Linked DNA regions of Schizosaccharomyces pombe. The protein of the gene in region 2 interacts with the protein of the main gene of each other region in a pairwise test. Each region holds a gene or a part of one and is shown on either strand. Other genes may lie near its edges.

Region 1 (6,037 bases), 300 kb from region 2:
CATTTTTTTTACATCAATTTAACACTTGAAATATACCCCAATAGAAACATACATGGGCAGGTCCTAAAATCGTTGCATTCCAGTCGGACAATGTAATATCATCGGCGTTCGTCAAACCATATGAGCAAGAACTCTCTCCGAGGCCTTTTTCGCCCTTTTCTAGCTCTTCAAGTAATTTAAAATTGCGAGGGCTATCAAAATTAGTAATTGTTATCGACTTTAATATGTCTAATCATACACTTTTGCCATCGTTTGTGGTACTTGGTTAATGGATGCGGTGCATTCGGATCTCACAGTATCTTTGTTGATCATTTCAAAACAAGATCTGAAGATTCAAATTGGTGCTTTTATATTGAATTATTGTAATTTGAATCTAAATTGTGTCTAGATTAATAGTCCTAGCAGATCCGTGAGTACCTTCTCTTCCTTACTTGATTAATACATTACAAATACAAATGCATGATTACAGAGAATAAATTTTTCTAATATTCGATCAACGAAACTATTCGAAGAATAAAGAATACAGGATAGATACCAAAACCATCAATAATTACTGTAACATTTGGTTAAAGTTGGGTCTCGAAAACATTCGAACCAAGGCTAGCAATCTGTCAAAGTATATTTCAACAATTACTTTATAGAATATTCAATACTGGTTTAGTGAACCTGTCACAGGCTGCAATTTCAATATTTTTTCCCTACATTGGAAAAAGATAAAAAATCAACTTTTTGCCAAGGTCAAAAGTGAAGTCAAATATCCTTTGAACGATGTATTCTAAAAACATATCAAATGTAAAAATACAAATCATTAATTTGTTAGAATTTATCCTATTTCTGTAGTGTATTGATAACGTAAAACTTGCCAATATTTTATTTAATTTTGTAGCAGTCTGATATCCCATTTTCAGATAGAAGGGAGAAAAATAGCTTTTCATTTACTTTCATAGATTATGAATAGAACTCATAATATATTAATCCTCCGTTATTTAGCAATAAGCCTGATACTTGAGCAAATCGATGCCAAGCGTATGAAGCCATGCTTGAGAATATATAGCCGTTAATAATCAAATTTCTCTTAAAGGAGGGTAGTACTTTGGTTTTTATCTGTTACATGCAGTTTATCGGATGTCATGCAAAAAAGGTGGTGAACAAACATAAAACAAGCATTAAAATGCCAGGACCAAAAAAAGACAATGCTATAGTTTAAATTAGCATTGAGTATTTGAAACTACTGAATTTCAACAATTCTTGTCGTAAACTCAGGGTTCTTTTTCTTCATAACAATGCTTAGGATACCATTGTTAAGAGAAGCGTGTATAAGTTTTTCATCGACAGGCTGAGGAAGGGTTATCGTACGTGAAAAAGCACCTACACATCTTTCACTCCAGCGAATAAGAGGGCCCGCTTTTTCTTCCTCTGGCTTTTTACGCTCACCAGAAATAGTCAACTTCGATCCATGTAAATCAACTTTAAGGTTTTGCTTATCGATTCCAGGGACTTCAACATCAACTTCAATAGTATCCTCTGTTTCTCTTAGCTCCAATGCTGGGCCCCAGCACGATAACCATGCCGATCTGTTGAATTTCGATCGGTCACCAAATTCAAAAATATCATTCATAAATCCGTTAGTAAAAGCATCAAACAACATATTAAATGTGTTTACAATGAAATAAAAATTTAACTTTGATTAAGATGAGTAATAATTAATCAAAGCGTAAGCAAATTGAAGGACAATTGCGTTTCGGATATCCTAAGTACGTGTGGGTTGGTGATGCTACATATATATGCGTAGGCAAAAACCGGGATTTGTTAAATATACCAGAATATTCTCTCTGTAACAATATAATAAAACAAGACATTTCAATGGTACAATGGGGTGCACAAAACAATGAAAATACCATCTTTATATTATTTCCATGCACTTTTATTTTCCATACTAATTTGTTAAACAAAGTGGTTTGCAGCTTCTATTATTGTACAAAAAGTAAAAAACCTTTTATTTTAGTTAGACTGAGTTTTGATAGAGTTATAAAACTTCTCTGTAGATATCACAGTTGGGTCATTCTGTCCCAAAATTACTTTAGCTTGTTCGAGGTATTTACTAGCGGTATCGAAATTTTTCAAACGAGTGTAAAGTTGAGCCGCCAAAATGTAAGCACTTGGGTTTTTATCTCCATAGGGGAGTAATTTTTCAAGACATTTTTGAGCTTCTTTCAAAGGTTCACTAGTAGCAACTAAGTTCTCCCCAAGAGGATCCTCATCATACTTTACCGGCATACCGTCCTCAGATTTTGCACGAGATTTATCGGCCTCTTTTAGCTTCTCAGCACGTTCCAATCGTTTACTAAGGTCCTTCTTCAGCTTCTTGTATATCTTCTTTTCCTCTTCTTCATTTATTTCTCCACTAGAAAGCTTCTCAAAATCGGGTAATTTAGGGCTATATTTAGCAAATGGTAAATCAAATAAGGCAAAATAGATTTCAATAGACCCTTGGGCAGCCTCTCTAAACGAAGGATCGTCATAAACACTGTCTTCCCAAGACATTAAGTCCAGGTATGTACGAAGAGATCCCTTGCGAAATGCGAAGAAGTGGAAATCAAATTGATCATCAGCCCAAGTATCAAATATTTTAAAAACAGTACTAAAACGTTTCAAAGCCAAAGCAAATTTTTTTTGTCTAGCAAATGATTTCCCATCTTCAAGCATGTACCACAGGCATTGCATATCTGCAAGATCGCCAACAGCACCACCAACAGCCTCATTGCGTGTAAACAACGATACCGTTTTGGCGGCAAGTTCATTTTCATCATTACGGAGCATATATTTAGCACACTTGCCGTTAATAAATCTATCTTGCAGATCAAGTTTACGAGCATGATCCATAATCTCCATGGCAGTTTGAAGCTCTCCCTTATGTTTGGAAATCCTAGCTTTCGTCATGAACAGCTCCACAAGCGTTGGGGTATGATCAATTGCCAAATCAACATATTTCTCAGCTTTTTCCAACTCACCAACATGATCAAAATGCTGAGCTAAAAAGTAATATGTCCATAAAAGCGTGGTGGGAATTTCAATCTGTGAATTATCGTCATCTTCAGAAAATTTGTTGGTCGTAGAAAGAGAGGAAGCGTATTTACTAACCAAATCCTCAACAACTTTGCATTTTTTGGTATCTTTGTACAAAGATTTGACATCGACGAACACAGATGGGATTCCACGCTTAAGCTTTTTGCGCAAGTAAAGATCTACATGAGTTAAAAACTCATCCCCTTCAAGCTTTTCTAAAGGTAGTCTCGTAGGGCACTCAGATTTGGGATACCTTTTAGCAAGTTGAGAATATAAATTCAACCACTCAGCACTATCCAATACTTTACCACTGGCATCCTCATACCCATACGCTCTTTGAAGATTATAATAATATTGGTGATTGTCTGGATTTCGATCAAGCAGAAGATATATGGTTGATTTGGCTTCTTCCATTTTGGAAAGATAAAGCTCGTACTCTGCCCGAGTCTCCAAAAACGCAACCCGATCCAATACCTTCTTTTCTATTGACAGTAAATGCTTATAGGCATCCTCAACACCATCTTTTTTTAATATAACAAGGTTCATGAATAACATGGCTTCGGATTCTTCTTGGGTATCAACGGGCACACCTTGATTTATAGTGGATTCAAATGCATCCACTATTTTATATGCACTAGCGTATTCCCCTCGAAGAAATTGAGCTACTGCTAAAGCGCTCCAATTGGCACGTACTCCTGGATTGTCCTGCAGCAAAGCATTCCTAGTGTCTGCTAGAGCCTTGTATTGACGAAGTTGAGATTGGAGTAACGCCAAGTCACGCAAAAGACTCGAGTTGTTTTTCTCAAGCTTATGAGCATTAATGTAACATTTAGCGGCCTGTACATAATCTTTATCGGCTCTGCTAATTAGTCCGAAAATGTGCCAACAAACACCGGATCCAACATCGTTGCGAAGACCAAGTCGTACGTTGTCGTATCCTTCTTTGGTATTACCTAAAGAGTGTAATAAAATTCCCTTAATTGCTAAGGATTCTCCATGCTCTGGATGCCTTTCTAACAGGGGTTCGATAGCCTTTAATCCTTTTTTGTACTGTTTTGTTTCATAGCATTTCTACAGGGTTAGAGAAATTTTCAATTTGTTAATTGTAGAAGATTAACATACTAATGCTGTTCTAAAAAGGGTAATCTCCTTCGGGCTCAGTTGAACTTTGGCCATGGGTAAGTGTAGAGGACAGGTTGGGAAGAGTACGAACCCTTGGAATGAATTTCGTTAATGTGTTCCACATTGCAAGGTTGCTTTCTTCTTCATTACTCTTTGTCTTGTGCTTATAAAAAGACGTTGATTCATAAATTATCTCGTATCGTTGAATGTTAGACCTGGAAGAAATGGTTTTGTAGAAAAAGACAGCAAACATTGCGTTCATACTTCGCTGAGTACTACATATTCAAAAAATCGTTTATGGAAACTTATCGAATAGCCATGCAATGGACGATGGATGGTAAACATGAAAAGATGGCACATCGAGAACAATTTTTGCATGTCCTTCTTATATGAAAATACGAAAATTCAAAGAGTAAACAAACTATTTTTAAGTATTTTGGCCAGTATCGATGAACCAAATGACTACATCAATTTTCATTATTGGTTCAATTGCTAGTTGTTTGCAATTACTGGGGACACGGTATTACATATCTGTAAGGCAAAGTTTATCGGGAATCTTTTGAATAGAAAACCAGTATACTCCAGTATATTTATAAACTAATTATTATTTGGCAATACCACTTAATTATTTAAAACGGTTCGTAGCTTCACTCCTCAACTAGAAACGTCCCAACATCCAAGGTTGAAACAAAAGGTACATTACAAACTAGAGAAGTTAAAACAATCAGTGGATTGAAAATCTCTTAAATTTACTAATTCCTGATACTATGGGATACGACTTCACATTTCTACAGACTTCCTCATCTAGCAATACACTAGTTCTGTTAAACAAAATTGGATAATTGTGCCTTTAAAAATATTACAGAAAAAAAGTATAATGGCAATTTTTTCTTATCTGTAGGATTTGTTTAGCAGCTACACGAGATTTACCTACCTTGCGGAGTTCTCAGTAGAAGAAGAACTCGTTGCTTTTCAAGTATTTGGCAAACAGAGATGCATTGCACAAAAATTTGAAATATCCTTTCGAATGCGAAGGATACATTATTTTTTTTAATCAAAAAAATTGCAATTAACAAGTTAATTGCAACACACGAAAAGTATCAAATACGCTATAAGAAAAGTTTCTTTAATTTAACGATATGTATTCTACTAAGCAGGTACCGTAATTAGCCTTCAAATCCTCAAGTGAAGAAAGATTTTTATATTAACTAGAACGCTGGATGAATCTCATTATCTAAGAAAAAACAATGGATGAGAAATTATGGTAAATTAAGCATTGAAGAGACTTAAAGAGTCGAATACTGATTTTTAGATTTGCGAAGTGCAAGATCCCGCGCAAGAAAAAGTTTCACATTTTCTACTATAATTTATATTTCTAAAAAGAAAAAATTTATAAAAACTTCTTTATCTTTCAGACAATAGTATTTTATATAAACAATGAATATCACTCTCTTTTAATGGAATCTTACAAAAATATCTACTTATTAATATGTTACTTCAAATCTGCAGCAATCAACGTTGCCCCTATGGCTTAGTGGTACAGCATCGCACTTGTAATGCGAAGATCCTTGGTTCGATTCCGAGTGGGGGCAATTTGTATTCTTGTTATTGCTTACTTTTATTAGGAGGAGCATCGTACAGCTGTTATTTTATCCCAGCCATACTACACTGTATTGCATTGTATTACGTTTTTGCATATCACTTTTATGTGCGGTGTTTAATTCATTCTGTTAGCTTTGCATAATAAAGCTACCAAAACAGATACTTATTACTAGTTAAACGATACTGTAAAATAACATTTACAATTATAGCATTCCCAAGGCTATAAGTGGGATGTACTAAACCACGT
Region 2 (5,989 bases):
ATTTAGACGCCATGACAGTATTTACATGCGTAAACCAACGAATTCGTTTATCAAATAAAAATATCATAAAGGAAACCTTTAAAAATCGAAATACACATGCTTAAGTTAAAATTTGCACAATGAGAGATGAGGGAGTACTTATCTATCTTTTGCTTGCTTTTCTTGGGTTCATAATCTTTGGTTTTCGCTATAAATGCTGTATGAGACTAGGAAGCTTTTGCAGTCAATCATTCTATTATTTATAAAAACAAATAAGTTATTTATTGATTAAAAACTCGTGATACTTTTTTTTGCTATAAAATGATTTATTTACATATAATTACAAGGCACTCGCACGACCTCGTTATGTGCGAGGAGCCATGAAATTGAATCCATTGATATTAAAATTAGCCAAAATGCCATTTCTTAAGAATGGGTAAAGTCCTGTTAGAGCTGCATTCAGTACCATGGAATGAAGAAGGTTTGAGTGATAATGCTCGACTTTATTCATTTTTGGAGTTCGTAAGCCCGAAAATCGAGGAATTGAAGTACAGAAAGCTTTTGTTAGAGAAACTACAGACTCACATTAGGGAGGTCGTTTTGGATGCTGAACTTCAAGTATACGGTAGCATGTATATTGGAACAACATTATCTATAAGTGATGTAGACGTATCTTTGAAGTCACCTCGAGTTGGAGAATTGGAGAAACGACGCGTCACCATGGTTTTAAGAAAGTACTTGGATGCTGATGCTGATTTCCATTCTAGTGCCAGAGTCCCTCGCATCAATTTAGTAGATGTTAGTGGAATTGGGGTGGATTTGACGTTTGGAAATGACAAAGCTTGCAGAACTGCTGAATTGCAAAAAGCTTATAACGAAGAACACCCAATTTTTGGTAGATTGCTGATGCTATTGAAGCACTGGTTGTTTGAAAGAGATTTGGAAAACGTTCATCATGGCGGGATTGCAAGTTGCGCGCTCTCTTATATGCTAATTGGTTGGCTTGAAATGCGATTTCACAAAAAGGGAATTGATTCGGAAGTGCAACCAATTCGAGCTTTACTACAGAAATTCTTCTATTTTTGGGGAGTCGAATGGACATACGAACTTTTTGTATTGAGACCTTTAACCGGTCAAATAGTTCCTAAGCTACAAAAGGGCTGGTTAAACGAAGTGCAACCAAATTTGCTATCTATTGAAGATCCAATTGACAGAAATAACGACATTGGAAAGCAATCATTTCAAATTAGTATGATTAAAGCTGCATTTGTTGCTTCAGCTAATGAATTATTATCCGATAAGACATGGTTTAGCACCTTTGCAATTACGGAAGATGAAATGTTTTTGTGTAAACAGTTTGAAAATGTTATAAATACTAAACGAAGTTTGGTGGAGGGATATGATAGTGATACGGAATCAGATGAATTACAAGCTGGCGGATAACTGCGGGTTAATGCATTTAAAAAATAATGCTCGCTGTTTAAATAAACATTTGTTTTTCAATTCCTAAGTTGTCTTGCCGCATGTGGTAATGTTTCACTACAGTTCGTATGTACTTTACTCTTGTTTAATTGAATGGATTCATATTCTTATTATTGATAGGATATAAGAATCCTACAATTATCTTAGTCATTTTCAAGTCTTTTAATTTTACTTAGGCAAGGTTCGGCTGTTTCAAATGATATCACATTTTGTACCTATTGAAGGTGCTAACAAAATCTGTTCTTTAAAAATTTCAAAATTAAATCTATTTTATTCTTTTAAAATCTATCCAAGGATCCATGTTAGATTTTCAAGTCAATTTAATAATTGCATTTCACTTAGATTAATAAATGTGTGTGCAATCTATAGCTTTTTCGAAAGAAGGACGCTATCTTCTGTTTTGGAGCTCTCATCAATAATGAATCCCCGATGAATAAACCATTCGGATACATCGAGTTTAGGGCTTAATTTAATGTAAATTTCTTTGGCTTTTCCCTCAGCTGCAGTCTCGCAAGCATATTCCAACAGCTTGGTACCAATAGAACGGTTTCGATAGGCTGGCAAAACTGCCAAAGATAAAATTTGGATTTTGTGCGATTTATTATGTGTTTCTTTTTTGCATCTAACAGCTCCTACGCAGACCTGGTTAAAGTACGCATATTGTGCTAAAGGCCCGACTGAGATTGTGTCTTTGTAAAAGGAGGTTGGAAATATAATGATTTCAGGATCAAAACACTTTTCGTTAATAACTTCAAGGATTTTCAGATTATTAGGGTTAATCGCATCAAGTTCAATCATCTTTTTTATGCAAATGCAAATATCTTTTTCTATATGTACTTGGTGTTGTCAACTTTCAGTCTTTAAGGCATTCTAATGCAATAGTTTGAGTTGGAAACATCCACGATAAAATCTTTAAACAGTACGCTGCATTTCATTAATCCCGTTGTCACATGAATGTGAAGGTATTGTAGATGCTGGTCGCATAGGAGAAGCGTTAACAAGGCTGAAGACATCGTCATTTCCATCTTCCTTTGTGTCTACGTTTCCTTCTTTCTTTGTGGTAGAGGGCTCTTCAAAATTTGATTCTTGTGGGATAATCTCTTCGGTGGATAGCTTTTCACTTGCAGAAACCGCAGGATTCTCAAAGTCAATATGAAGTTGTCTTTGATATTCATCTATTAATCTTCTAAGCCAAGGGACTGTGTAGCTAATGGCTGGCCATGCTGTACCTAGCATAGTAATGAAGTTCCAAAGGCTCCACAGGGCCATAAATGAAAATACCAGCCCTTGTATAATGATAAGAATGATTGCAATGATCACTTTCGGAATGATTGCTAAATCAAATGCTATCGGTATGAGAAGAGCAAAGGAAACCACTCGGGTGAGAGCAACCAAAAAGACGCAAAAGGAATTTTTGAAACCAACAAAAGGCCGAAACACTGCTAGCAATATAAAAGAGATGATTTCAATAACAAATAGAAGTATAGTTTGAATCTTCGCAAACTGTTGTACTAACGCTAAAACCAATGCAAAACTAAAATAATGTGCAAAGCAGGCGTAAACATAGAGCCATCGCCGTTCTTTTAAATCCAAATATAACCATCCCCACCATGTGTATATTTTTGGATCGCTTATCAATGTTTCTGGATTGTCCTCGTTACTCAAGCCTGACGTTGTTATCACTCTTATGACTTTGATAGTTAACCAAAGGAAAAGCCCAAAAAGCAGTGCCAGAAGCAAAGCCGCCAATATTACAGGGCCATATGCTTCCCTAAGTGTAAACTGGTAAATTATCATAGTTACCAATACAGGCCAACAAACCAACACCTATATCAACCAGATTAGTATAAGTATAAAGCAAAAAAGTCGTTAAGAGCTATGTATGAACAACTCATTCCTTTGTTCAATTAACTTACCCATCTCATACAAGCATTAAAAAGTACTCTAAACCAATACCTTGTGATATAATCGCATGAAGATTTTGCGATTATACGTGTCTGACGAAGAAACTTAATAATAAGTACGAATATTATAACGATTCCTCCTGCTATGGCCAAAGAAATCAAAAACCATATTAAAGTGAGTGTAAATAAATTCGTTGTTAGCGTTCCAACTTCGGTGGCTAGGCCTTGAAACCCATGGTAAAATCCAGGAATCGGGCTTTGAGGGTTTGTTGCAACAGCATCTCTTCGATGGACTCCACCTATCTTTGGAGAACTTAGGTTTCCATTGGAATGCTTTCTAAAAGACTCAAGGCTGTTTTCTATCTCTTTATTGGTAATAAATCCTAGAATCCATGCAAAATTACTAGCCCATGCGACTAGCACTTTTGGCTGTGTAATTCCAATTGCTCCCGTGAAAGCTATACATTGAAGTAGCTCTCCCATGTGCTGCAAAGAAGGAACGGAATTGATGAAAACCTGACGTGTCAGATAGGTGCTATGCTCCATTCCAATTACATAAAAGCCTAAGACGCCTGCTATACTCAATGCCAAAGCAGTTCCACTTAGAGCTTTTACGACTTTATTTTTAAACGTATGACCATTATTAAGTGTCGCGATCATGCACGCAAGTGGTGTAGAATTATCGATGGATGACGCTGCGATGTCTTCTGAGCGATACATGCGAAAACGCACTAAGCCTTCAAAATCAGGAATTCCCCAGGCAATTTTTGGGATCATCTGAACATCTTGAGGGCTCACTGGAAGTATTCCCTGTGTGGTTATAGCTGTATCTCTTGCAACTGGGCACACAGTATTAAGATTTATTTCACAAGGGTCGAAAGTAAATCTTGCCCTCTGCTCTCCATAAGCTTCAACTATAATATCAAACGTAACATTTGCGTCCACAGATGAATATCCAAGAATATTAAAGACTACTGACAAGTTTCGTGTATAATAACTTGCATCAAACCGATTAAACACTATCGGGGCATTTGACATGCATTCTGCGTACTCGGCTGTTCCAAGTTTGTGATTTGGTCTCTTACTATATCTTACTCGACCTTCCACTGACGATAAGATATTACTTAAAACTGCAAAGTAAGCTAAGAGTATTAGCTTCATTTTCATTTTCCATTAACATCCCCCTTCCAGTTATGTAGAGGGTTTAACTTTGGAACGAATGCAAAAAAAATTAAAATGAACTTTCCTCAGAATTACCAAACTATCACGAATAACAAAAACATGCTACTGAACTCAAATGCCGTAATTTGACTGTAATGTTTACGAAATAGCAGTCGTATTTTTTAACAACCATAGCATTGAGTTAAATACAAGGATTAAATAAATAGTAATGAAACGATTGAAGCTTTAAGATTTTTACGAAAAAGAATACAGAACGTGGCTTCGTTTATTTAGTTACCACCATCTTAGCATTGTTCTTACGCTCACAATTTTACACTATGAAAAAAGCAATATAATGGTAAAGAATGTATCATTAGTAAAGAATAAAAAAAAGAAATGCATTTTCATTTCATTTGTAGTTGTGAGAAGAAATGATGGAATGTGCGAGCCTCACTTGATTTTATGTCATTATGTTTTGGACCTCAATTAGTAATAAAATTATTCTGTTGAAGTCATTTCTGAAGGCGTTTCTTGATTTTTCGCTTGTAATTCGTTGAGTTGCTCCATTAAAAGATTTCGAAAAGGAGTCAGCAGCTTCTCTTTAGTTCTATTTAATTTCATTCCACAATTTGGAAGTTGTGGCTGCGGTACTCCATGAGCTGTAGTGGGTGTAATAATTGCGGACCCAAAGAAGTTATAAAGATGTAAAAGCCATTCACTAGTACTATCTTTATTCTCAATAGCCTTCTTGCTTTCTTCATCAAGTTCCTTCACATAATCACCAATTTCTTCCAAAACTTGATGTTTTGTCTCTTCATCCAAGGTATTTAAAGCTTTATGGGCAACATCTACCGCATCAGGAGTCTTCACCTCAACACTAAATTGTTTTAAACAATGGCGATACCAGTCGCACCACTCTCCACAAAGATCGGGCGCATTCACAACAAGTCGGTGAATGAAACGGACAAAGCAGCTTTGATAACGTTCAACAAGATTGATGAACTTTACTAAGGGAGCACCGGCCTTTGAAAGCTGAATAACATCCCATAAGAAATACTGAAAGTCATAAATAGCTTGTGAAAAATCGGCAGCTTGATGTGCTTCGTAAATGATATTATAAAACGCATTCATAAATTCTCTTACAACATCATTCAGTTGATCGTTGTCACATAGATCGTGGATTAAACATTCGCGATCACGATGTGTTAAAGCGGCATCAAAATATCTCATGGCAATATGGACACCTTTCTCGGAATAAGGATCGAAATGAAAGTCTTCAATCTCGGAATGCTCGGTTTCAGATGCAGTGTCGGGTACTTCATCTTCATTGCCTTGGACAGACGAGGCCTTATCGGAGTCTTCCTTATCAACTCCTTCAGTCTCGGTAGTTTCAGTTTGCTGTGCTTCGTACGCCTCTAAAATTGCGATAGTAATGTTCAGTTCCTTATTGATGCTTTGAGAAC

Evidence for each region.
Region 1: the proteins of naa50 (region 2) and naa15 interact in a two-hybrid assay, tested with the Schizosaccharomyces pombe proteins (one large-scale study listed by BioGRID).

Annotation. Positions count from the first base shown.
Region 1 is NC_003421.2:1,360,833-1,366,869, reverse strand, and holds naa15 (NatA N-acetyltransferase complex regulatory subunit Naa15), read right to left. Parts: upstream 4,253-6,037; 5' UTR 4,243-4,252; coding exon 4,189-4,242; exon of another isoform or gene 4,154-4,188; intron 4,138-4,153; coding exon 2,002-4,137; 3' UTR 1,917-2,001; downstream 1-1,916. Other genes in the region: ubiquitin-conjugating enzyme Mms2, read right to left, coding at 53-191, 239-249; Hsp20 family protein, read right to left, coding at 1,229-1,648.
Region 2 is NC_003421.2:1,655,258-1,661,246, forward strand, and holds naa50 (NatA N-acetyltransferase subunit Naa50), read right to left. Parts: upstream 2,301-5,989; 5' UTR 2,260-2,300; coding exon 1,825-2,259; 3' UTR 1,644-1,824; downstream 1-1,643. Other genes in the region: poly(A) polymerase Cid12, read left to right, coding at 412-1,422; trp663 (TRP-like ion channel protein), read right to left, coding at 2,374-3,288, 3,378-4,526; SPOM_SPCC663.15C (uncharacterized protein), read right to left, coding at 5,025-5,989.